Drosophila melanogaster: one gene and its partners. The protein of the gene in region 3 interacts with the protein of the main gene of each other region in a pairwise test. Each region holds a gene or a part of one and is shown on either strand. Other genes may lie near its edges. The genes, in order: CG4730, unpg, phol and Cph.

Region 1 (4,157 bases), on a different chromosome or scaffold from region 3:
TGTTATCTGCAGACCTGCCAGATCAGCAAAAAGCAGCTGACTGTTACGTTAACAACCACATTTTATGTTTTTGTTTACTAAAACAACTTTAGTTAATACTCCGACGGGATGACTTAAAGTGGATGCCCCAACATCATTTCTAGGACATGGCAGCGGAATTGGGTCTGGAATCGGCCGCGGGGTCCGTGGCAATCAAAATGCAAGAGCCGGTCAATAAATTAAAATTTTTCCATGCACTTGTTGTAAGTAGATGAAAATTAAATGAAAAGTTAGTTCTTAAATAATTAGTTTTAGGCAGGAGGAGTGGCTGGAATGGTAGTGGACATAGCGCTGTTTCCCATAGATACAGTGAAGACCCGACTGCAAAGCGAGCTGGGCTTTTGGCGGGCAGGAGGATTCAGGGGCATCTACAAAGGACTCGCTCCTGCGGCTGCAGGAAGTGCTCCCACGGCGGCCCTGTTTTTCTGCACCTACGAGTGCGGAAAGCAGTTCCTTAGTTCGGTCACCCAAACCAAAGATTCACCCTATGTTCACATGGCAGCGGCTTCAGCAGCAGAAGTGGTAGGATTTCATATAAAACTGAGCACCTCGTATTTAGATCTGAAGAATCTCTGTATCCAATAGTTGGCATGCTTGATCCGAGTTCCCGTGGAGATTGCCAAGCAACGCTCCCAAACATTGCAGGGCAACAAACAGTCCGGCCTGCAAATTCTACTGCGTGCCTATCGCACTGAGGGATTGAAACGTGGTCTGTACAGGGGATTTGGTTCCACTATCATGCGGGAGATTCCATTTAGTCTGATACAGTTTCCGCTCTGGGAGTACTTTAAGCTGCAATGGACTCCCCTGACCGGCTTCGATTCCACTCCTTTTTCGGTGGCTCTTTGTGGAGCTGTCGCTGGAGGCATTTCAGCGGGATTAACTACGCCGCTCGATGTGGTCAAAACCCGAATTATGCTGGCTGAAAGGGAGAGTCTCAACCGACGTCGCAGTGCCCGAAGAATTTTGCATGGCATTTACCTGGAGCGAGGCTTCAGCGGGTAATTATTTCCATATTAGACGCAACTCAAGCTGGTCCTAATATTTAAACACAAATTAACTTTACAAAACTATTTATTACATTTATTAATGTACTTCGATGTTACTTTTCAGTCTGTTTGCTGGCTTTGTGCCGCGTGTGCTGTGGATCACACTGGGCGGTGCATTCTTCTTTGGCTTCTACGACCTGACGACGCGAATCCTTGGCGCCACCAGTACGGATCATTAAAATTAGGGTTATTTTCGTTGTACTTGTAGTAGAGGCACGTAGTTTGCAGTAGTAACTAAACCGATGACAACCACCGTTTGAAGACAACGTGGACAATAAAGTGTATGGAAGACTTTTGAGATTCACTAGGCATTGGAGGCGTTATTCGCTCCCTGTGGAAGAAAAAGGGCTGTGATTGTATTGGGACATTGTCACGAGCTCACTGACATCCTGAATGTGGAGGCGACCAGTGAGGAGAGTAGCAGTAGTCCTTTGATCTCCCAGTTCATCTCCGCAGTCCATGGGCACATCGGAATCCTCCTCATCCACATTGATGTATCCACTTCGCGGAGCCTTCCTGCTCTTTAGGCAATCCCAGGAATTCCGACAGCGACTACGTGACATGGCGTAGACCTGTGTACACCCAAATGCATAAATTAAACAAATGTACATCCACTTAAACAAACAGACTGTGGCGATAACGCACCAGTGCAGCCAGAACGAAAATGCCAACGAGCACGGAAATTGGCAGCCATATGTATTGACCGTCGTCCGGATGCAGTATGTCCGGTTCAGGACTAATGGTCGTCTGAGGCTCAAGTAACTTCATCGTTTTCAGGGGATGTACAAAGAAATCACAACAACTACGAAGCAAAAAGTTCTCAAAAATTTCAGCGCTCCCAAGTGCTGCCAGACCTCTCGTGAAATAGGTGGCAACCCTAGCACAGCTATGTTTAGTTTTTCTTCACATTTATGGCTAAGAGCGGGGATTTTCAACTGTAAACAAAGAAGTATTTATTAGGTAATCTGAGTAATCTTTTCAATTTGATCAAAATAAGCTTTGCACAGATGGATCCCCAAACATCAAAAGTATGCCAAACGCTTAATTTTACAATAGCAAGGCGAACTGCAGAAGCTCCCGTGAAGCTTGTATCCCATGAAGTCTCACTTTCAGACAGTACTACTTCTTTGGAGCTGAGCAATTGCTGCCGCTTGTGTTTGGAGGAGCCGTATCCCAACCAAATGCTGGACATGACCGTCATCTATGACCAGGAGGCGGCGCTGAGTTACTACGACTGCTACGAGATCTGCACCAAGGAAGACCTGCGGCAAAATCCCAAAAACGAGCCACGAACCTTGTGCAAACGTTGTGCGGTGGAACTGAAATGGGCCTACGACTTCCACAAGAAAATGGCCATTGCCAATCAGCAGTTGAGGGAGATATTTGTGGCAACCGAAGCCAACACGGAACAGGAAGACGACGTGGAGGATGAGGAGAATGAGGCGGATATGAATGAAGAGTTCCTGATGGAAGAGATTGAGGAGAAGCAGGAAACCCCTATCGACAGCTTAGAGGACATTGTGCCACGCAATCGGCATACGGGAAAATCCAACTGCAAGTTCTGCCACAAGGAGTTCAGGAACCATTCCCGCATGGCCAAGCACCAGATGATTCATTTGGCCAATCGTCCCAACTTTCGTTGCAGCCAGTGCGACCGGGTTTACCTCACAAAGCAGGCGCTGAAAGTTCACGTCGATTCGAAGCACAGGCAGTCTGGAGTCCACTGCGACACATGCGGCAAGGTTTTTGCCATTGCCAAAGCCCTGGAGATTCATAAACGCTATCATAACAGAGACTTTCCCTATTCCTGTGATCTCTGTGATCGTCGTTTCGCACAGCGATCCCATTTGACTGTCCACCAGCAGGTTAAGCACTCTGGATCTCGCTTCATTTGCGAGTTTCCCGGCTGCCAGAAGTCCTTTACCTCATCTTCATCTCTCAGGAATCACGAGTGCACGCATACGGCCATGCCATTTGAGTGCGCCCACTGCCATCAGAGCTATCCAGCTCGTAACAAGTTAGTTATTTTGTTTAAAGTGTACATTATTTGAAAGTAACACTCCTTAATAATTTTTTAGACTACGCATGCACCTGGAGCGTAAGCATAACATGGTGGTGCAGATGGAGGACCTGGAGGAAATGCGAAAGTTTCACATCGTGCGCTCCAAGTTGGTAATGGCAAAGATTTACTCGGACCAGAAAGAATCACACCATGCCAAAAATGATAGCGCTGCTATTTCTAAATAAAAAGTATTTAAAACTATTACCAAAACTTAGATAATAGCTTAATCTTACACTAACTCGCATCCCATTTTAAATTCCGTAAAATTGCCTTACAAATATCACATTCAATTTATTTCACACTTTCATTTGGTTATCTTACACGGACAGGGATAGATATTCACATACATATATAGATTTTCGATATCATAGACAAAATAAATGCTGCTAAATCTGGTGGTATACAAGTTCGATCTGCGCCACAAGAATCCTTCAGTTCGACAGCGTTAGGACCTAATGGCATCTCATCGCGGCTTTGGCAAAGATCGTGAAGTCATCCGGATGCTGAGAGGATCCAGTTGCCGTGCCCGTCGTTGTGGTGGCCACATTTCCATTGCCAGCCTCCGCTCGCTTTCTAGAAGTTATCTTCTTCCAGCCGCGAAGGAAGATTTGATTTCGGTACTTGGGCGTGGTGAAGGTGTACAAGAGAGGATTAACCGCCGAGTTAAGTGGCAGCACAAAGACCACCAACCAGGCGTAGATGTCATCGGAGATATTGTAGTTGAAAAAAACCCAGATCTTCATAACGATGATGGGCACCCAGCACAGGAAGTCGGTCAGCACGATGAAAAAGAATCGCACAGCGAATTCGCAATCCAACAGAGTGAGCGGAGTGGCGCTCCTCGTTCGCCATATCGAAATAAGGAGTGCCGTGTAGAGCATCGCAATCATCACCAGCAGCAGCAGATTGACGCCCAGGAACACGAAAGCCGAGTAAAGCCAGCCCATCGGGAAGGCCTCGTGGATGTGCAATGGAAAGCCTGTTAAGTTTAATTTCGTCACTTGGTA
Region 2 (7,602 bases), on a different chromosome or scaffold from region 3:
CTTCCGATTCTTGATGCCAACCAACAATCCAGCAGCCGGCAGCAAATTGCCTGCAAAGTGTTGCAATAATAAAAACCCATGCTTGGAGGCGTGTCCCAACACAAAGCTGCGATACACGACACACGAGGGTGATGCGATACCAAACAGGGCCAGTTCCCAGTTTCCACTTCCCAGTTGCCAGTGCGAGTCCCTTTCCCTGGGGTGGTTTTCCTCCTGTTGGCCTTTCGGCCGGGAACAATTAGGCATTCGGTGGTGAAGAGGGGCGAGTTACAGGGGAGTTGCAATAAACAAGAGAGTCGGGAGGCAGCCAATAAGTCGCTAATGCAATTAAAAACTCACACAAAGCAGAGGGAGCTGCTAATGCTAATAAGTCACGAGGGAAGAGTCCTGCGCCCGGCGCCCGGGATGCCAGTCAGCCCAAAAAGGAGGCGTGACACGTGAAACACCTGGAGTGATTGCTGTTCCCGTCGTCTACCCTCTCTTTCGCTCGCAGGACACTCGGCGATCCTGTATCCTGACGCTCATTTCGTGACAATTTGGTGCGTTAAATTGGAAAAATTAGTCACAGATAAGACGACCCGAACTCGAAGTGAATGCAACGCTCGATTTTCCGACACTCGACTAGACTCGACTCCAAACGGCCACTTTGGGCCGTGCTAAATCGCACAAATTGGCAGTTTAATTGTTCCAATTGACATCGAGGCGAGATTTGTGCCCCGGTTGCCTGGAGTGGCCTCGACTTCCGGCTCCTGGATGGGCGTGTTTCTGGGCCGCCAGGATTTATGTGCCATCATGTGGTGGTCAGTGGCACAAAGCATACATCACATATATGTATGTCTATATGGGTACTCAGATCTGCTAGAAATCCACTAAATGGTTAAAGTAATACAATTCGACTTGAATTTGATTTTTCGTTTGTTTATTTACATAAAGAAAACTCGGCTTGCAGACGAACTGCCTCCATAGGTATGTACACTTGAACGCTTCAGGAGCCCAACTCCATCAATAGATGCTCCTGGCGAGGGAGAGGGGCGTGGATACCCCCAGGCCGACTCCCACGCCAACGCCCACGCCCACGCCCAATCCCACTGGTCCTCCGGATGGCGATGAGGCGTTGGTGGAACCGCTGAACTTCTCGAAGCCTCCGATCGCCTCCGCCGAGAGCTTCTTGCGCAGATCCGGCTTCGGTCCGCTGAGGCACATCTTCTCCAGCTGCTGGTGCTGCGACCGGACGGCGAAGCGGTTCACGTGCACGGGAATGGGCACCACGATCTTGGTGCCACTAGTGGTCCCGTTGCGACCCAGTCCGTGCGAGGTGAGTCCAGCCTTAACCCTTTTCCACTTGGCGCGTCGATTTTGGAACCATATTTTAACCTATTTCAAACGGATTATCATCAGCTTCGGGTGTTTTCCTTTCATTTAACAACTAAACCTACCTGAACTTCGCTTAACTTTAGACTGGTGGCTATTTGACTGCGCTCCGTGAGACTGAGATACTTCTTGGCGTGGAACTCCCGCTCGAGTTCCAGCAGCTGCTCCGAAGTGAAGGCTGTGCGCCGGCGACGGGACTTGGAGTTTGAGCTGGAGCCATTCCCCTGCGAGTCCTTGCCGCCCATTCCACCGCCTTCGTGCCGGGACTGAGCGCCTTCATCATCGCTGCAATCCTCGCTATCCGAATTGGTATAGGCTGAAACAGTAGGAGATATGGCATGAGTTTATGTCAAAAAGGCAATGAATGAACAAGAAGAATCACAATCAGCAATTATCCATAAAATATATAGGTATTCCCAAACTACAACTCATCTGCAAGACATGAGTATAAGAAAGCGATCTACTTTTGGCATCACACGGTATTACAAGGATCGTTACATCTAATCCACAAGCATTCCTACCCCACTTCACCTTTGTCTTATGAAATTACCGTGATCTCAATATAATTTGTTAATGGTTTACAATATTTGTTAAAAATGTTTAAATATTCAAGTAGTAGTACTAAGTAGTAAGTAGTACTAAGTACTAAGCCCAAGTACTATAACCTTGAACAACAAAAATCAAAGGGATCAAATCAAAATCATCCAATCTCTTAAGATTATATGTTTCAACCTATACTTTATGCTTGTTTATTTATCTGCAATCAACCCTATTGTTTAAATAAACAGCATATATTACCTATCAGCAGTAATAGTATTTTGAGCAGGAAAAAGATAAGTTAGACGCAACCACTTTCACTATGTTCACCCCAAACGTTTTCACAAACAACGAATTGCGCGCTAAAAATTTAATTTTCGCGAAAAGTCGCAAATTAACCCTATATGCTCCAAATAGGGAATTAATCACTTTACAACATAGACTCACACAATTACTTAACAAATTTCAACAATTTGTTTAAACTCTATTTAAAGTTGAAATTTCGTTTTGAAAGTTCAAAGAGGACATAACTTTGTAAAAACGCAAATTGTTAGGTTTATACGCACAAATTGAACAACATATTAGTAATATGTATAGTAGTATGTATAGTACATAGTAGACACCTGAAAAATGGCTATTCATTTCAAATTTGATGGGTTTTGGCCTTGAAATTTATCCCAAAAGCGGTTCACATTCCTCAATGTGCAAGCCATTAAAATATGAATTTTATTCCGAATAAATAACAAGAGATATACATTTAACTACATTTTGAACGGATCCATTTAAGAAAATCGAACTTTGAAATGGACTTAACTAAACTTAAAGTGTATCAAGAGTTTAAGTTAAGACCAAACACTGACTTCACTTTTTCTTTGGATTATATTGTTATTTTTCCAAATTCCATTCCCTTTTGTATTGTATCTTTCCTGAGATACTGAGATACATCTTCGGTTGAGTGCAATCCCATCGTTCAGAGTCACTCTAACACATTGTGCCGAGCAATGCCGCCTCGGTCCAGCCCACATCCTGGCTGATTCTGTCCGGACTCAAGACAAGTCGCTTGGAGCAGCCCCATTAATGGGGCCCTAACGAGTTCGGACTTCTGGTGCAAATGGCCCGTGCCACAAATTGTGGCAAACATATTTATTTATAACTGGATACATGTGTCTGAAGGCTGCCCTTCATGCAGAAGGCATGGAATGCTCGAAACATAATCTGCTTGTTTTGGGTGGACTCAAGTTGAGCGTGCCAGCCAAGTGTCAAGTGCCAAGTGCCCGATGAGTCCTCCCAATTCCGCTACAGCTCCCACTCCAGCTTCCACTTCTCTTAATTTTGAGTACATGGTTAAGCGGTTTTTAACACTTACACGCTTCAAAAGTGCCCGCTGTCACTGATTTATCTGCCCATTTGGACGCCTGCCACCCTGTCGCCAGTCACCCACATAGCCACCCCCATGTCAGCCACCCCCACCCACAAAGCACACCATTTGCGCCCACTTGCGCTCAGTTATGAATATATTAGTCGCAAATTTGTTGCGCTCTTTGCTGCTTCGCTGGCAAATTGATTGCGGCACGGATGGCTCAGTTTCCAGTTTCCAGACAGGCAGCGGGGGATCCGGATGATTACGTTGATGGGAGAACGCAGTGCCATTCCATTCGAGTGTCCAAATCGCCAAATCGCTACGATTGTCAAAACGTCAGCATTCCGTTTCCAGTCACTCCGCTTTGTGGCTTTGTGGTCGACGGGACGACGAGTGGCGTTTCTGGATCCCGAAGTCGGAGTTGTGAAAACTTTTCACTCCGTGATTGACACCGAACACTGGGTCTTAATGCACTCTATGCTAATTTGATTATGACGTGGCAGGCTCAATTTAAATTACCGTGACAACGCCGCTCGACAAAATGAGCCACCGCAAAACTGGACACGATTCGAAGGGGTAAATTATGAGTACTAAGCTCAAGAAATATTTGTATTTGCTTTTGATTTTAAAGAGTTTCTCATTTCGCTGAACGCATTTAAGAAGAATGAGGAACACAACAGGACTACATTTGCATATCGCTCTAAATAATATTAAAACATACTTTTTAAACGCAACAACGAATGTTAGCCATCATAAAAAGTGTATATAAATATTTTAATATCATATTATTTAGATAAATCCTAAGGATTGTCGAACGTCTAACCAATTGGCCAATTTGTACCGCAATTTATTTCCTTAACCCTTAATTGGTAATTATTAATTGATAATTAAAACTAACGTAAAGTGATAATTAAAACTAACGTAAGAAATTCGATGCCCAACAAATTTTAGTCGGTGTAATTACTAATCACCAAAGCAAACGAATAAAAGTTTAGCAAGTATTTGAAAAACATACACTCTTTTCAAAGTGATGAGCTATTTAGTGATATCTTAATAAGTTGAGCAAAATTTAACGATATGCATTAAACAATAGCTTTATATTTATGCAAAAATGCTAACTATTACTATTGTGTCTTCTGCAAACTATAAACTTTATAGTATAAAGGACTTAATAGTTGTAACCATGGCTAAAATGGCTGCAAAATGTATCCGTAAATCTTAAAACAATTGCCGACAAGTTCTAAGATAAAGATCAACCAAGAACTATATCGAATTCCCCAAACATCTCATTAGTATAACCACATCCCTGAAAGATTGATTGCATGGTACCCACCTCCATTGCGGCTCTTGTCCATCTCGCCGTTGTAGTTCCTGGGCGACATGGTCAGGCTAATGTCACTGCAGGAGTCGCCGCTGCACTCGAAGTCCTCGTCCATGCCCACATCCAGGGCCGGTTCCATGGGACTGTGGCTGCCGGACTTGGCTGGCGAGGAGTGGGCCTGTGGGGGCGTCGGCTCCTGGAGCTGCGCCATGCCGGGATTCGCTTGATCCTCGTGCATCCTGCCGGCGGCGGCCATGTGCTGCAGTCGAGCGTGGACACTCAGACTGTGCACGTAGTCCTGGTTCATAAGCTCGGCCAATCGCCGGTAGCTGAGATCCGTGGGCGCAACTCCGGCGGCGGCGGGATTGAAGGGCAGGAAACGCGTATCCAGCGGATGCGGCAAGGTGGGTGGAAGCTGTTTCTCCAAGGCATGTGTTGGTGGATGTGGTGGTGGTGGTTGTGGCTGTGCCTGTGCCTGTGGTTGCTGTGCAGCAGGATGACCAGCTGGACTGGAGGGCAGGTAGCAGCCGCCGGCAATTAAATGCGTTAATCTCTCGTGATTCTGAGCGAAGTAGCCGTGCAGCCAGGGATTATAAAGCGGAAACTGGGTGAGTCCCAGGGCCGAACTGGCTACCATGGCGCGGGCACTCAGCTCCTGCTCCTGCTCTGCCTCCTGCTCCTGGTCCCGCTCCTCGGGCGGCGATGGTGGTGTGGCAGTGGCAGGCGTTTGGTTGGCGATCAGACTCTCGATCGAGAAGGGCTTGGGAAAGGGCTTGCTGGCCAGCCTGGTAGTGGGCGATTCCATGGTGCCGATCTCTCCGTTTTGCAGCAAGGCCGGTCGTTCCATATTGCCCACTCAAAAGCACACTTTCAGGGCGATCGAAACTAACTTCTTTCTTCTAATTTCTCAACGCGTTTCTGTTCCCGAGCAGACACGACGCAGTGAACCGTTCAGAGATCTGCGAGCGACTGTCCAAGTGCAGCAGACATCACGTACGCGTACGGCACCCAAGTCGAAGCCCAGAAGCCCAGAGGCGCCGAGCAACCACCACCACGGATGGTCTGGCTCCTCCTCCATTTCAATATGGCGCATGACAAACAGCTGGTGTCTCTGTCTGGCGCGCGCTCCCATTGGCCAGCTGCTAATTGCCGGGTGGTGCGGACAGCGAACCAGTTTCCGGCAATGGAGCAGCACCACTACCACCTCCACCACCGCCCGCGTTCCCGCTCCGTAATTGCGTTCTGCTCGAATCGCTCGGTAATCAGACATCGCCGGACTGGCGAAGAGAACGCCCTGCCATTAATGCCCCATCTTCGCCAGCTCCTTGGCCATTGGGGAGTACTCCCGCCGGCGGAGGACGGAGGATGGAGGATGGTGTTCTCGCGAGGCATATTAGTGACCAATTTAAATTCAAATGTCAGTTGCCAGTGGGTGTGACTGCTGGGCATCATTAGCAGACACTCCAGTGTGCTCAACGATTTGTATCTGCAACTTAGGTGCATATCTATTAGTCTACGGATATCTGGTTTTAATTATCTAAACATACCAGTAAACAGCTCTGTACAACTATTAATTTTAATTGGTGGTGTTTGAGGTATTTAGTTGGTTCTTAAGCGCACTAATATAGATTTTAAGAGAGTTTAATTGAAAGTGACATCCGTAACAGGCAGAATTATTCAAAGGAATACTCGTATTTCTTGGATGGTAGCAATCGCTGATAATTTAATGACCCCTAATTTATTGCAAGGATTAATATTAACAATGATTTTTTGTAGGCCTGATATGCCAAATTAAATATTTTATATAACTCGTTTTAAAGGTAAACAGGCATAAATACCTCCAACAAGTGTTATTACATAGGGTATATATACATACATAGGTTATACAAAAGTACGTTTATAGTATCCACAAAATACAGACAACAATCCATTGCAGTCGTGACCCCCACCGTCCCCAAGAAGCAGATGGATGGGACTACTGTTTCCTACATCCGCTGTGGACAAATCCACATCCGTTCCCTGATTCCTCGATTCCCCCGAAGCACCCACAATTGATATGCCGATCGTTCTTCGCGCAGCAGGTGGCAATAATTTGCATGTGTATGGCTTAATTGATCGTAATTGACCAAATTTTTGGCCATAAGTGACGAGGCGTCCATTGATTGGAGCGCAAATTGGCATTGGTCACGTTTGGGTGTTTGAAATCTTTTACGAGCACCGAACATTGCGAACATTTAACCGATTCCACAGCGGCATAAATTACAATACAATTATGCGGCTCGTTGATAATTTTGGTTTTCTGATTATGATGAAAGCTGTTGGGTTTTGTTCGGCACTTTGGCAGCTTGTCAAGAATCAGCAGGGATGGGCGGGGATGGATCCTTATAGACACTGTCCGCCGAGTGTGGGTAAATATTTCTGGGCAGCTTCCCTTCTTCTGACGGCGGAAAACGGGCAAATTAACGAATTGCAACGAAGCGTTGAATGCGCTCAAATAAATCAGAGCACTGTTGACACCATCATCATTCCTCATCCCCGGATTCGCCAACCCCAGTCCGTGGTACCCCAATCCTTAATGCGCAGTCCCCAATCCCAGTGCCATGTGCAGAGGGCGAAAGATACATCTCTACAGATACTCTCTTTCGTTTGAGCGAGCGCGTTTTTTAGATTTTTTTGATTGCCTGCAGACGGAGAACAATTCGAAATTATTTACTGACAAATCGTTGCGAATTTTTGGCATATTCCTGAAATGCACAGAAATGCGCACACTGCACAAAACGAACACAATTAAAGCTCTAGCCATACGTATAATGAGATACAAAAGTATCTGCAACTAAGTACCTCGAATTGCTCGCTGTCTGCGGTCTCTAAATTATATCGTTCGACTAATGAAATTAAAATTTCATGCCATTCGACGCAATGTGAAGGCGAACATGTGTTCCCGTGACCGCAGAACACGGAGCTACACGGAGCATATAGTCATATAGCTGGAGCTGTCCGATGTTTGCCCAAC
Region 3 (6,140 bases):
ACAAGAATATGACACTCACCTCCGCATAGAAGCCCCAGTATCCTGGTATTTTCCGGCTCTGAGGGGATTTCTCCAATTGATATGAAAACAGCCCGGGCACCTTGTGCAGCTGGTCCCATCTCACCTTCATGGCGTTGAGATAGAGCTGCGCCCTCCCCTCCAGACTCGTCTCGTACTTAACCTTGCTCATGGTTCGCCTACGGACCGGTCGCTTTACCTCCTGGTCCTCTTTTTGCCTGCAATCCGCGGATCGGAGGACTACCAGCGGCAGCAGAGTTGCAACCTTCAGCGAAAACCTGTTGCTAAAGCCGGCGGCTATAAAACTGCTGTATTTTTGGGCAACATATCGGTTGAATCGAAAGAAGGCTGCGAAATGCCGCGAAAACATTTCGTTTTGTGCTGGGCAGGGAAAAACAAACTGAAAATTTAGTACAATTTTAAGGCCCAGACAACCTGACAACCCAGACCGCCCAGACAGCTGATTGCTGACTTCAGCGGCGTGGCAAGAGGGTTAAAAAAAAAAACGAGTCAGCGCGTTCGTTTTTATAAATATGGATCCTAATAAAGTCCCAATTTCGGAATTTTATTAGTTAGAAGCTGGCGTACGAGATTTAAGAAGCATATTTTATTTTCTGAACCCCATTAAAAAATTTGAGCTACGCCTTTGATCCAAAAGACCTGCATCCCTGGTTTGTTTGCTGCTGAAATTGGCTGCATTCATCAACAAATGGCCCAAGTTCGAGGATCTTGCGAAAGTTTCTGTCCCGATGGGGAGGCGAAAATGTAGGTAAACGAAATTTAAACCCGAATTTAATATAATAACACCGTTTAATACATTCAGGCGTATTCGCGAGAAGCTTTTGCACTATTTCGAGCTAAAAAATGGCCAGAAGAACAAGCCAGGAGTCCTGGTCAAGGAGTTTACACGCTCCGCCGCCGATGTCAAGATGCCCATGCCCAAGGAAATGCGCACAGAAGCGGCATTGACCAAAACAGTGGAATATCTGCTCAAGGAGCAAGTATATTAGGCGCTTAGTTAGCCAAGTTAAATCTGATAATTAATATACTGTGCAGCATAATCCTGGACACACGAAAGCCGTACAATGTGGCTTACGACTTCATATTCGATCGATTGAGGGCGGTGCGTCGGGAGATCGTGATCCAGATGTACGATGCCAGTCAGAAGATTTGCCTGTTAGAGCCCATTGTGATGTTTCTGGCATATAGTCGCTATCGCTTGTGTGAGGAGCCCATCGAGAAGTTCGATCTCAAGATATGCAATCAGCATTTGCAAGAGTGCCTCACGGGAGTGCTTTGCTGTTACGAAGAACTGGAGGACTTGGAATCATCTAGAGAACCCACCGTTCGTGAGCTTGAGCGGCGCTGCTTCATAGAGAGCCTGTATCAATTGTTTAATCTGGGTTCTCCCGAGTCCTTTACACGCGCCCTCACCTTACCGGACTATGTGCGTCGGGATGCGACGTTTAAGCTTTGTTTTGGGATCTGTTTGGCCTTCCAACAGGGCAATTTGTATAGAGTGCTCATGGGTGTGCCACAATTGCCGCATATTCTGTGCGCGGTAGCTGCCGCCAAGTTGCAGGTGATAAGGAGGTACAGTATAACTTTTTCTATTGGATCTCTTATTGACATGATGCATTTTTAATGTAAATACATATGTATGTATGTATATTTGCAGGAGTTTGTTGCAGATTTTCACGCATGCCTACAACAACAAACAGCTTACGGTGCCGGTTCCTTACTTGTTGCGTTTACTGTTGTTCGATGGGCCAACAGGATTGCAGGACCAATGTCGGCATTATAATATATCCTTAACAGCGGATAGGAAGGCGGTGCAATTTAATAAGACTGATTTTAACCACAATGCAGAGGTATTTACACCCCAACACGAGCGCTTTGTGGAGTCGAAGCTGAAGCGTATTTATATTCCAGAAGTTCTATTGCTAAAGAAATTTAACTAGTTATTTATGAGCAACAATTGTAAATAGCTCGAAATAATAGTAAAGCCATGGAGATTAATTTATTGTTATTGCGCATTTGTTTTCTTGTCGGGTGGCAACCCTGGTGGCAGAACAACAAACCTATCGCTTATCGAAAGACAGAACGCCGCGGTATTTACAGCTAATAAATGGTTTGCCAGTTGGAGGTTAATAAAATGCAATTTTTGAATAGTAGTTAAGATTACATTTGTGCTGTTTTGCGAAGTAATGCGAAGAGAATAACCAATCTCCGCTGAATAAACCGCTTAAGATATACACAAAGCGCGCGCAGGGTTGCATTGTGGCGCCTGTCGCTGCACACTACACACACACACACCCCACACACGCAACGCGAGAGAAAGTACCGAGCCGTTTCTGGAAAATACAATTCCGCCATATTAACCGGCAAAATTCAAAATATTTACACTGCCCGAGGTGAGCGGGATCGAGGTGGTCATCCAAAGCGAGAATTAACCCGCCATTGGGCAGCAGGAGAGTGGCGGGCGGAGCGGAGCGAGCGGTACGCATCATTCGCCGTCTGCCGCCGCCGTCGCACAATAAACGATAGGCATTGGCCACAAAAAAGTGGAAAAAGAGGTGGAGGGAAAGGCCAGTTCAGTGCAGCAATACCGACGAAAACACGTACGTTTGTCCACTTTGGAAGTCTGGCGAATATATAGAGATATATACATAATACGGATTTTTGGCCAGATACTAATTGCCCACTTTTTCCGCAGCGCGCTCGCACACACAACACTAACACTCACGCACGAAGCAAGAGCGCCCACAAATACAAGCATACAGATACAGGCACACAGACAGGCAGACGGAGCAGCCGCGATGACAAGTCATCATCATCACGTCGGCGTCGGAGGGAACTTCCAGCCTCAACTGCATCAGATACGAGCGCCCATCGTGAAGAATCTATCGCTGGCCGCTGCGGCGGTACCGTTGCCCCTGCACTCCGCCCCGTCGTCGGCATACTTCACTCATGCACACCAGCCTACGGCGGCTACCATAGTCGAGCAAGATCCGTACACCGTTTTGGCGGGCGATCCGATGGGCGAGGAAAGCGAGAGCTTCCTGATCGAGGAGATCATCGACGACTATGATGATGAGGCTAATATCGTCGTAGACTCAGGCGAATTCTTTGAGCACTATGAATACTATCCGGTGGATCGGCTGGACAGACTTACCTCGGTCACGGTGGCTACGGCAGATGCACTGCCGCCGCCGATCATCATGCAGCAGACCAGCGACGATGAGGAATTCATCGAGGAGGATGGACAGCAGATGACATCCTCCTGCGATGGCGATGGCGATGAGGATGATGAGGCTACCGCGCCGGCTACGACAAATGCCTTCGAGATTGCCTCCGAGATGCTAACCACCATCGAGGCCACAAACATCAAGGAGGAGCAGCTCGAGAGCGACTTCTATATGAAGGCGACCGAGGATTCAAACAGTTCGAATGGCCAGCTGCAGGATTTTAAGCTATTTGGAAGCAGTCGCGTCGAGAGGCCCATGGGAAATTCAGCGGCCAAGCGCTGGAAGCAAACAAAGGTACCCATACGCATAACGCAGGATGAGTTCAATGTCACCCTTTGGTCCTCGCTCAACTCGGAGGATGAGGACGAGGAGGAGGAGTTGGAGGAACCACCTGGTTGTGCTGGCACCACATCCGTGACGTCCTCCTCCGCCGCCCAGAATGAAGGATCACCCAGCATGCCAAAGCTTATTATTGACGAGCACATGATCAACCACGATGTTTTAAGCGATGGCATCGGCAACGAGTACGTCATCCTACCCGATCCATTCAGCGCCTCTGCGGTCACGGATGTGGAGGAGGTGGTTAATGCATTTATGGGCGATGTCAAAGGCGAGGAGGACAGCCAGCCGCTAAGTGAACAGTTGATCTATGCGGAAAACCAGTTGGAAGAAGCTTATGGTAACATCGAGCTTATCGAGAACATGCCGAATAATGTGGAGCTGATACAGACACCGGGACCAGGTCCAGCCACTGTGTCGGTAGCGCTATCGAAGGTCAACGGATGTGTACCGAATCCACAGCCGGCTCTCCCAAAACTAGTGCTCCAGAACAGCAGCACCAATGTGCGACTGAAAAGTGCGGGAAATCAGTCAAAGGTGACAAAGAGGCAACTCACGGCGGCGGCTCAGGTGGCGACACCAAATCCCCCACCGCCACTAGTGGCTTCCAGCAATCCAGCCCGACCCCAACGACCCACAATTGTAACCAAATTACCGACTGCAGTGGCCAATCAGACGGCTGGTAATGCCATGGGAGCAGCTGGCGCGGCCGGCGAAGAGGATGAGGAGCCAAAGTTTCGCTGCACCCATCGCGGCTGCAACAAGGAGTTTCGCAACCACTCGGCCATGCGCAAGCACATGCACACGCACGGACCGCGCGGTCATGTGTGCAACGTCTGCGGCAAGAGCTTTGTAGAGAGCTCCAAGCTAAAGCGCCACCAGCTGGTGCACACCGGCGAGAAGCCCTTTGAGTGCACCTTTGAGGGGTGCGGCAAGCGCTTCTCGCTGGACTTCAATCTGCGCACCCACGTACGGATACACACTGGCGATAGGCCCTACCACTGTCCCATTGATGGCTGCTCCAAGTGCTTCGCCCAGTCAACGAACCTCAAGTCCCACATGCTGACGCACACGAAGCCCAAAAGGAAGTGGCCGCGCGCACCGCAAGTGAGCAACAACAAGACACCGCTGGTGGCCAGATACGGGCGACTGGAGTTTGGCGAGGATCCTCGTCTAGTGTACGTAGAACAGAACGAGGAGGTGGCGTCGGTGCTGCTGGATGGCACGTCCCTAACATCCTAACTAGTAGTGCGCTTTAATGTGTGGCAGGTATTGGCATGAGATGGTTAAAATATTAAAGCTCCTTTGGCTCCGGAAGGCATTATTGTACAGTTAGTTGTAGCCAGTTTTTATCTGTATCTGTAACCTGTAACGAGCGGAGCGGCCGGACAAGATTGTCACCTGGTGAACACATCCGCCCGCTGCCCGCCCTTTAAGTAAGTAGTGTAAGTTCATTCTCTAACAAAATAGGATTGCAGTGCAAAAGGAAGTTAGATGGTAGCCATTAATTAATTTCCTTCACGGATGAAGAGCAGTTCTAAGAGTTTAGCTTGTACCGTAGGCTAAGTGAGTCCCCCCGCAAAACCAAAACTGAACCGTAATCCCCGAAGAACTCAGCCAAACTGTCACCTTAAAAAGCCCCAATTTGATCTGATACTAATCGTGTGCGATCTTCGCTCGAATAACAAAACGCGCACTTTCTTTTCTACGAAAACAAAACAAACAAAAAAATAAGAAAAATACACAAAACTAGTTTTACCATATTCAATACGCATACACCATAGGCTATCTATATATTTTTGTAATGAATTATAACACTTAGAGCATTGAAGTACGGATTTAGCATGTTCAACGTCTGTTGGCGCTAACAATAATTCACAAATGGAAGCACATCAGTTAAGTCGGAATAAACAAGGGAAATACCTCTTCAAAATTAAACAAAAATAAACCAGGAAAACAATGCAACAACACTTGCGTATATCATTTATCATTTCTTTTTTTAACTATTTCACAGTGCGATTGTGTAAGCGTTAGATTTATTAACTGACTTTAAACTTGTAACTACTGCTAGATAACTACATTAAACGGTGAGGCAGCTATTGATGGACAGTCGCCGGGTGTTGTCCACTTCAGATTCGGATCAGCAAGCGATTAGATCGCCTCTTTGGACATGTGTCGCCTACAGCTACGTTCCATTCATTGATTGCGGTGTATAAACGCGTGCGGATTAGATAAAGCATCGCGGCGAGGTACAGATACGCGGCTATTTTGGATATTGGAACGGAGAACAGTACACACGATTGGTCTGGGCATGGTCTGATCGGTATTTTAGGTGACCTTGAGCCCATGTCCTTGAACTCCGGGAATAATATCCGCGATGGAGGCACTTGTTGGGCCAATCAATCCGGCCAGCGAGAGCAGCACGGAGTAGTTGAAGTACCAGAAAACGCAGAAGAGTACCATGAAAATGACGTCTGCAATGAACCGAGAGCAATAATAACCCTGATAAGCGTATAAATTCTCCAGAAGCATGAC
Region 4 (5,233 bases), on a different chromosome or scaffold from region 3:
CAGAGCCAAGGAGTCGAAGGATTCGGTTTTATGGCCCAAAGGTTATGGGTGTCTGCTCTATCTGTGGGGATGCCATAAAAACCAGGCAGAGAGCGCCACACGGTCGTCCTCGTCGTCGGCTGTTTTTAGGTGCTCGCTTTCGTAGGACGCAGGACGAAGGACACAGGACCCCGATGAAAAATGGCGTCAGCCACGAAAAACTGGACCAACTATCCTATCTGTGGGCAAAATGGTGGAAGACAGCGAAACTTGCGCCTCTTTAAGCAATCACAGTTGTTATTAATATTAAAGTAGAGAATATGGCAAGGAAAAAGACAGTATGTATATGTATCACCATTCATTTGCAATCACTTTGCCTTCAATGCTGCAAAATCGAAAACTAAAGACAGCTGAATGGTTATCCAAGTGCTCCACTTCGTTGACGGGTTGTTAAATAAAAAAACAGAGTAGAAATAATAATAACGAACGCCCCGAAAATGCTGAGTAAATATTTAAAGACAACGCTCTTTTTTTTTTTTTTGTTATTTCGACTTGTTGTATTGTTTTTTGGCCAACTCATTTAAAAGTTTAACAACAAAAAAGGGTTAAACAAATTCAAAATTCTGTGGCAGGCGATAACAGTCGGCGTGGGCGTAGTGGTAGTAAGTATATATATAAATATGTAAGTGTTGTGTCCAACAGGCGGTTGAATTTTTCTTTTATTTTATTTATTTTTTTTTTTTTTTGGCTGACAGTGACAAAGCGACGTCAGCAGCTGAAAAACTGAAAATCAACTGGAGTCGGAGCGGCCCCCGGACTTAATTTGTTTAAACAAATTATGTGTGGATAACATAGCGATACGGATACGTGGAAAGGTGTTTAGCAGCTGAAACTATAACAAACAGAGCGCGATATATCGTACACATGCACATAGTGTTTTATATTATATATGTACATATATATGGTACCGCCTGAAATTACAATGATTTCTGTTGTGCGGGGGCGCAACAAATACGAGTATCGAAGCCCCGAAGCCTTATCACACCGGTCGCCTTCGCAAAGTGTTTTAGCATACAAAATTTGGTTTTATTTGCCTACTGTCCCCCAATAGAGCTCGTTTTCATGGTGGCTCGCGGGGTTCACGGGGTTTTGGGGTAAAAAAAAAAAAATAAATAAAAACGAGGAGAAGAAGCGGTTAGCCAAAAGCTAGCGCTGACTGCTGATAACACCCGCATATGGCGGCAAGGTAAGCGACTGGATATCTGGACAAACAAATGAGCAAACGAATGGAACCCCGACCGTAAAACCGGAGACCGCAGACCCGTAGACGGACGGACAAACGGACGGTACGAGCCCACAGTTACCCCGCCAGGTTGAGTGAATGAGCCATATGCAAATATGGTCGCGGCCTGGAATCGGGCATTAACATATAGTCCACGTGTGCGTCTGTCTGTGTGTTAAAGCTGGACACACATGGCGACTGATAAGCCAAAGGAAATGGGCACAAGGTATGGGCACAACAACATTAAATAATAAAAGAGCATTCAACCGAAAGTGCAATACAAATATATAGCAATTAATATTTAAATATAGCCAGGTGAAAACTTAAATGTATGATAGTTAGTATGTTTAAATTTAAACAGCTTCTCATGTTTTTGCTTTGAATTTTTTTTTTATTTATGGGAAACTAAAGCCTAGTTAATGCCACACATTAACAAACTAGATAAGGTATTATTGATATATTATAAATATAGCTCATTTCCTTTCAACTATTCCAGGTTTGAGTAGGTTATCTAGTTTTATTCTAAGAATCTAAGAAGCGATTAAGTGCAACTGTACTTCCGGTTAGCTAAAATCCAATTGGTCTTTTGAAGTCGTGCGTTGTTTGAACATCCGTTTGTAATCGAAATGTAAGTTTGAGGTGGACCGATGGCAAAAGACCCGCTCTATTTGCTTAGAGCCAATGAAATGTTCCCATTGTTGCTCTCTGCTCACTTCTTTTGATAAGACATATGTGTGGCTTGTAAGTTTTACTTTTCATTTTCAGGTCGTTGTTTTTTACCCTGCTCGGTTTTTTTTTTCGTTTTTTGTCGCTAAAATATTTGTATTTGTATTGTGAGCAAGGTGCAGAGAGGCGATATAGAGAAGTTTGTTTTATTTCCCGAAAGTCAACGACAGTCACGACGGACATATGTAAATATAGCTGCGATCCATATAGGTAGGTAAGTAGGTTGCCCCCTCTTTACCCACACTATACACCGCTGGGTGTGTGTGCTGGTGTGGGTGCGGGCGTTGGCTTATTGTTGTTCTGGTTGTTCTTCCCAGTACAGCGCGCTTATCAAAAATTGTCCGCACATTTGCCCGGTTTTTGTTGTTATTTTTTTTTTGTTGTTTTGTATCTATTTGGGGGACAACATAGAGCGACAACGGCAAATGATTAAAGAGACACCCATGAACACCATGGTAAAAAGAAGTACCGCAGCAAAACTGAACAGAACAGGAAGAGCTGTTATAGGAATTTCTGAGAAGTTCCAAGAAATGCTGCGGTTATCTCCGTCCAAGATACACGCCTCTGGGCAATTGCTTATTGGGGAAATATTTTGGGTGCTCTTGATTATGATATAACAACGATTTTAGGGTTCGGTCACTCAAGGCATACCACAAATTAAACTAATGAGCTTTTACTGTTTTTAATTTTAAACTTACGGCTCAGCGAACGGAATCCATGATCCTCACTGATCGACAGCATTTTGTTGTACATCTTGATTTTTGTATAAAAAAAAAAATATTGTGGTGTCTTGTGTTTTGTTTTTTATCTTGTTTTGTTTTACGTTTCAAACTTTTAACACATCACAAGTTATTGTTGTTTTTGTGGTTTTTGGTTTAAAAAAAATAGTTTTGGCATTGAAAAAAAAAGTGAAAGGCACAAAAAGATTGTAGTGACAGACACACACGATCGTAGGTAATCCAATTGTCCTGCGTGTGGTTGTCCTAGAATGTTTGGTTTTTCTTGTGTTTTTCTTATATTTGATGAGCACTTTCACAAGACACGAAGCGGTAACACAGTAACGGTAACGGCTGCGTATCGGTTGCGTATCGGTTAAACCGTTTCGAGTGATTGTGGGGAATGCGAGTTAATGTTTCGTAAATCGACGTGTTTGTCGGCCGAAGGATCTAAATCTGATTTGAGGTCGTGAGCAGTGTGTTGTTGACCCCTCGGAGGCTTCACGTGGACTGACAACTAGTTGGCTTCCTGGGACGCTCGAGGGTCGACGGTCGTCGAACGTTCAATCCTGCCGCTGAGGCTGTGCCGTCGCCGTCGACGTCGGCAGAGACAGCGTTTTTTACTCACACACAGCGCACACACACCGCTCTTCATTCCCTTTGACCCTCGAGGGTCGGGGCTAAAAAAAAAAAACCATATAGGAAAAAAAACGTGTGTAGTCACCACTACACACACACACGCGCGTGCAGGGGTTGCTGGCCCGTCTCCCTCTCTCCCTCTCTCACTCATGCCCTCTGTACCTCTCCCTCGCACATGTTCGAGTTGCGAGTGGACCAAAGGCAAAATATATGGGAAATAGGGGGATGAATTCATCTCTGGACGACTACTGTCCGTTGATGCCAGCGTCTACGCCGACCGAGGCAGCGACGGCGACTACGACTGCTCCCCCGTAACCCCCCCCCCCCCATACCTTCTAAAGGAAAAATCTGTCTACTCACATGGATAAAGGAAAACTATCGACTGTCCGCCGCTAATCGCTGCCCAAATTGAGCTGTTACGCACAGCAGAGGGTTAAAACGCCGGCGAGGGAGTGTAACTATAACTATGTCATGAGCATAAAGATTGGAACAGGGGGAGCAGCAGTAAGGGTGTTGATAGAGCGAACGGGTTGTCGGGCAGCGAATAACTGACCAATGACAGGGTCGCACTTGGGATCCTAACTAAAGATAGGCCTTAGAAGTGCCACAATAAAATCATAATTTAAAGTTCAATTATAACATATTGATAAAAGTTGAAGTATTTTAGGCTTAACTAAACACTCTTTCAAAAACACCAGGAAATTTTTTGTATATTCATATTACTTTTCTGAAAATCTACCAATTATGTTCGAATTCGAAAAAGTAATTCTTTAGGCTAATTAAATGAATAAATGCAATAATATCCTAGTCCGTAGAGGTCATAAAAGGTTATGACAAGCCAAAGATATGGATTAGGTTTGTTATTTTGAAGTCAAGCCTAGAAATAATTTTCGTATCTCGAAAGAATAATTACTTCTTATTGGCTATTCTTGATTAAGATACTCGTCCGCTGTTAAAATCAGTACGAAGTGTTTGAAATTAGTTTAGTGGGCATATAGAGTTCTGTAATACCATACTATGAAGTTGTTAGTTTTAGATAGTTTCTAGTTCTTGGATATCGAGTTTAGCAAGGGGATCAGATTTAGTTCGTTCATAAAGCAGGAGGGACATTGGTGTAGCAAGGGGAATGCTCGAGTTCCGTTTTAGTTGAGTGAGCTATTTATGGAGACAATGCTCCACAGATCCTGGAAACGTCGGAGTTCCTTGAACTCTCTCTCTCTCTCTCTCTCTCTCTCTCTCTTTCTCCAAATCTCGGCATCGTTTATCCCAGCATGGGATGTGCGCAGTTCTCTCTGGAGTTCAGATCGCGGAAGCTGCGCAATAAGTGTGGCGACCAGCCCCGATCTCAGAACCCCCCTTCCCCCTGAATACATATATCTAATAATAGACGGGATTCGGGGAAGGAGATGAAGATGGAGATGGAGATGGACAGGCGGATGCGTAACATTCTCTAAGATTCTCTTCTTCTGCCTCGTTGGTTAATCCTTTCCCATTGTCACGAGGGTAAACGAATTTTTTTGTTCCTCATGTGTGTTGTTTTTTGTTTTTTTTTATGTTTTTTACTAAACCATACCACGGGCATAACGAACCCTGGTTTTTTTGCGCGCGCTTTTGATTTACCCCTCGGCAGGACTAAGACGCGGCGGCGCTTGCGCAGATGCGAGCTGCCTTGTAAAAGGATGCTGCTAATGTCCTGGAACGCTAAGAAGAAGGCAAAACAACAAAAAAAAAAAACTGGTCCCTGTCCTTTGTGCGCTTTAATCAAACGCAAAAGGGGCGGAGGGGAGGACATCCAGGCACAGGACATCCAGCCCGCGTCCTGTCGCCTTGCAATTATTTTTTATGCAATTTTTACCGATCGCCGCCTGCTTTCCTCAAAGTTTCCTTTTGT

What was found.
Region 1: the proteins of phol (region 3) and CG4730 interact in a two-hybrid assay, tested with the Drosophila melanogaster proteins (one large-scale study listed by BioGRID).
Region 2: the proteins of phol (region 3) and unpg interact in a two-hybrid assay, tested with the Drosophila melanogaster proteins (one large-scale study listed by BioGRID).
Region 4: the proteins of phol (region 3) and Cph interact in a two-hybrid assay, tested with the Drosophila melanogaster proteins (one large-scale study listed by BioGRID).

The regions. Positions count from the first base shown.
Region 1 is NT_033777.3:25,676,476-25,680,632, reverse strand, and holds CG4730 (uncharacterized protein), read left to right. Parts: upstream 1-1,950; 5' UTR 1,951-2,037; exon of another isoform or gene 2,038-2,048; intron 2,049-2,085; exon of another isoform or gene 2,086-2,095; coding exon 2,096-3,105; intron 3,106-3,166; coding exon 3,167-3,335; 3' UTR 3,336-3,561; downstream 3,562-4,157. Other genes in the region: CG4743 (uncharacterized protein), read left to right, coding at 147-242, 295-561, 625-1,040, 1,153-1,267; CG5039 (uncharacterized protein), read right to left, coding at 1,393-1,419, 1,475-1,660, 1,734-1,856; Lgr3 (Leucine-rich repeat-containing G protein-coupled receptor 3), read right to left, coding at 3,603-4,129.
Region 2 is NT_033778.4:9,193,168-9,200,769, reverse strand, and holds unpg (unplugged), read right to left. Parts: upstream 5,566-7,602; 5' UTR 5,437-5,565; coding exon 4,602-5,436; intron 1,688-4,601; coding exon 1,437-1,687; intron 1,375-1,436; coding exon 1,003-1,374; 3' UTR 900-1,002; downstream 1-899. UniProt on the Drosophila melanogaster protein: Plays a regulatory role in neural branching of the tracheae: segment-specific aspects of these neural branching patterns appear to be generated by homeotic regulation of expression. May have a role with oc/otd in the postembryonic development of the brain.
Region 3 is NT_037436.4:9,452,237-9,458,376, reverse strand, and holds phol (pleiohomeotic like), read left to right. Parts: upstream 1-2,095; 5' UTR 2,096-2,639; intron 2,640-2,734; 5' UTR 2,735-2,837; coding exon 2,838-4,847; 3' UTR 4,848-5,574; downstream 5,575-6,140. Other genes in the region: CG3552 (uncharacterized protein), read right to left, coding at 20-388; CG3437 (uncharacterized protein), read left to right, coding at 728-783, 842-1,015, 1,075-1,611, 1,697-1,979; ghi (ghiberti), read right to left, coding at 5,934-6,079.
Region 4 is NC_004354.4:7,224,439-7,229,671, reverse strand, and holds the start of Cph (chronophage), read right to left. Parts: upstream 3,218-5,233; 5' UTR 2,741-3,217; coding exon 2,686-2,740; intron 1-2,685.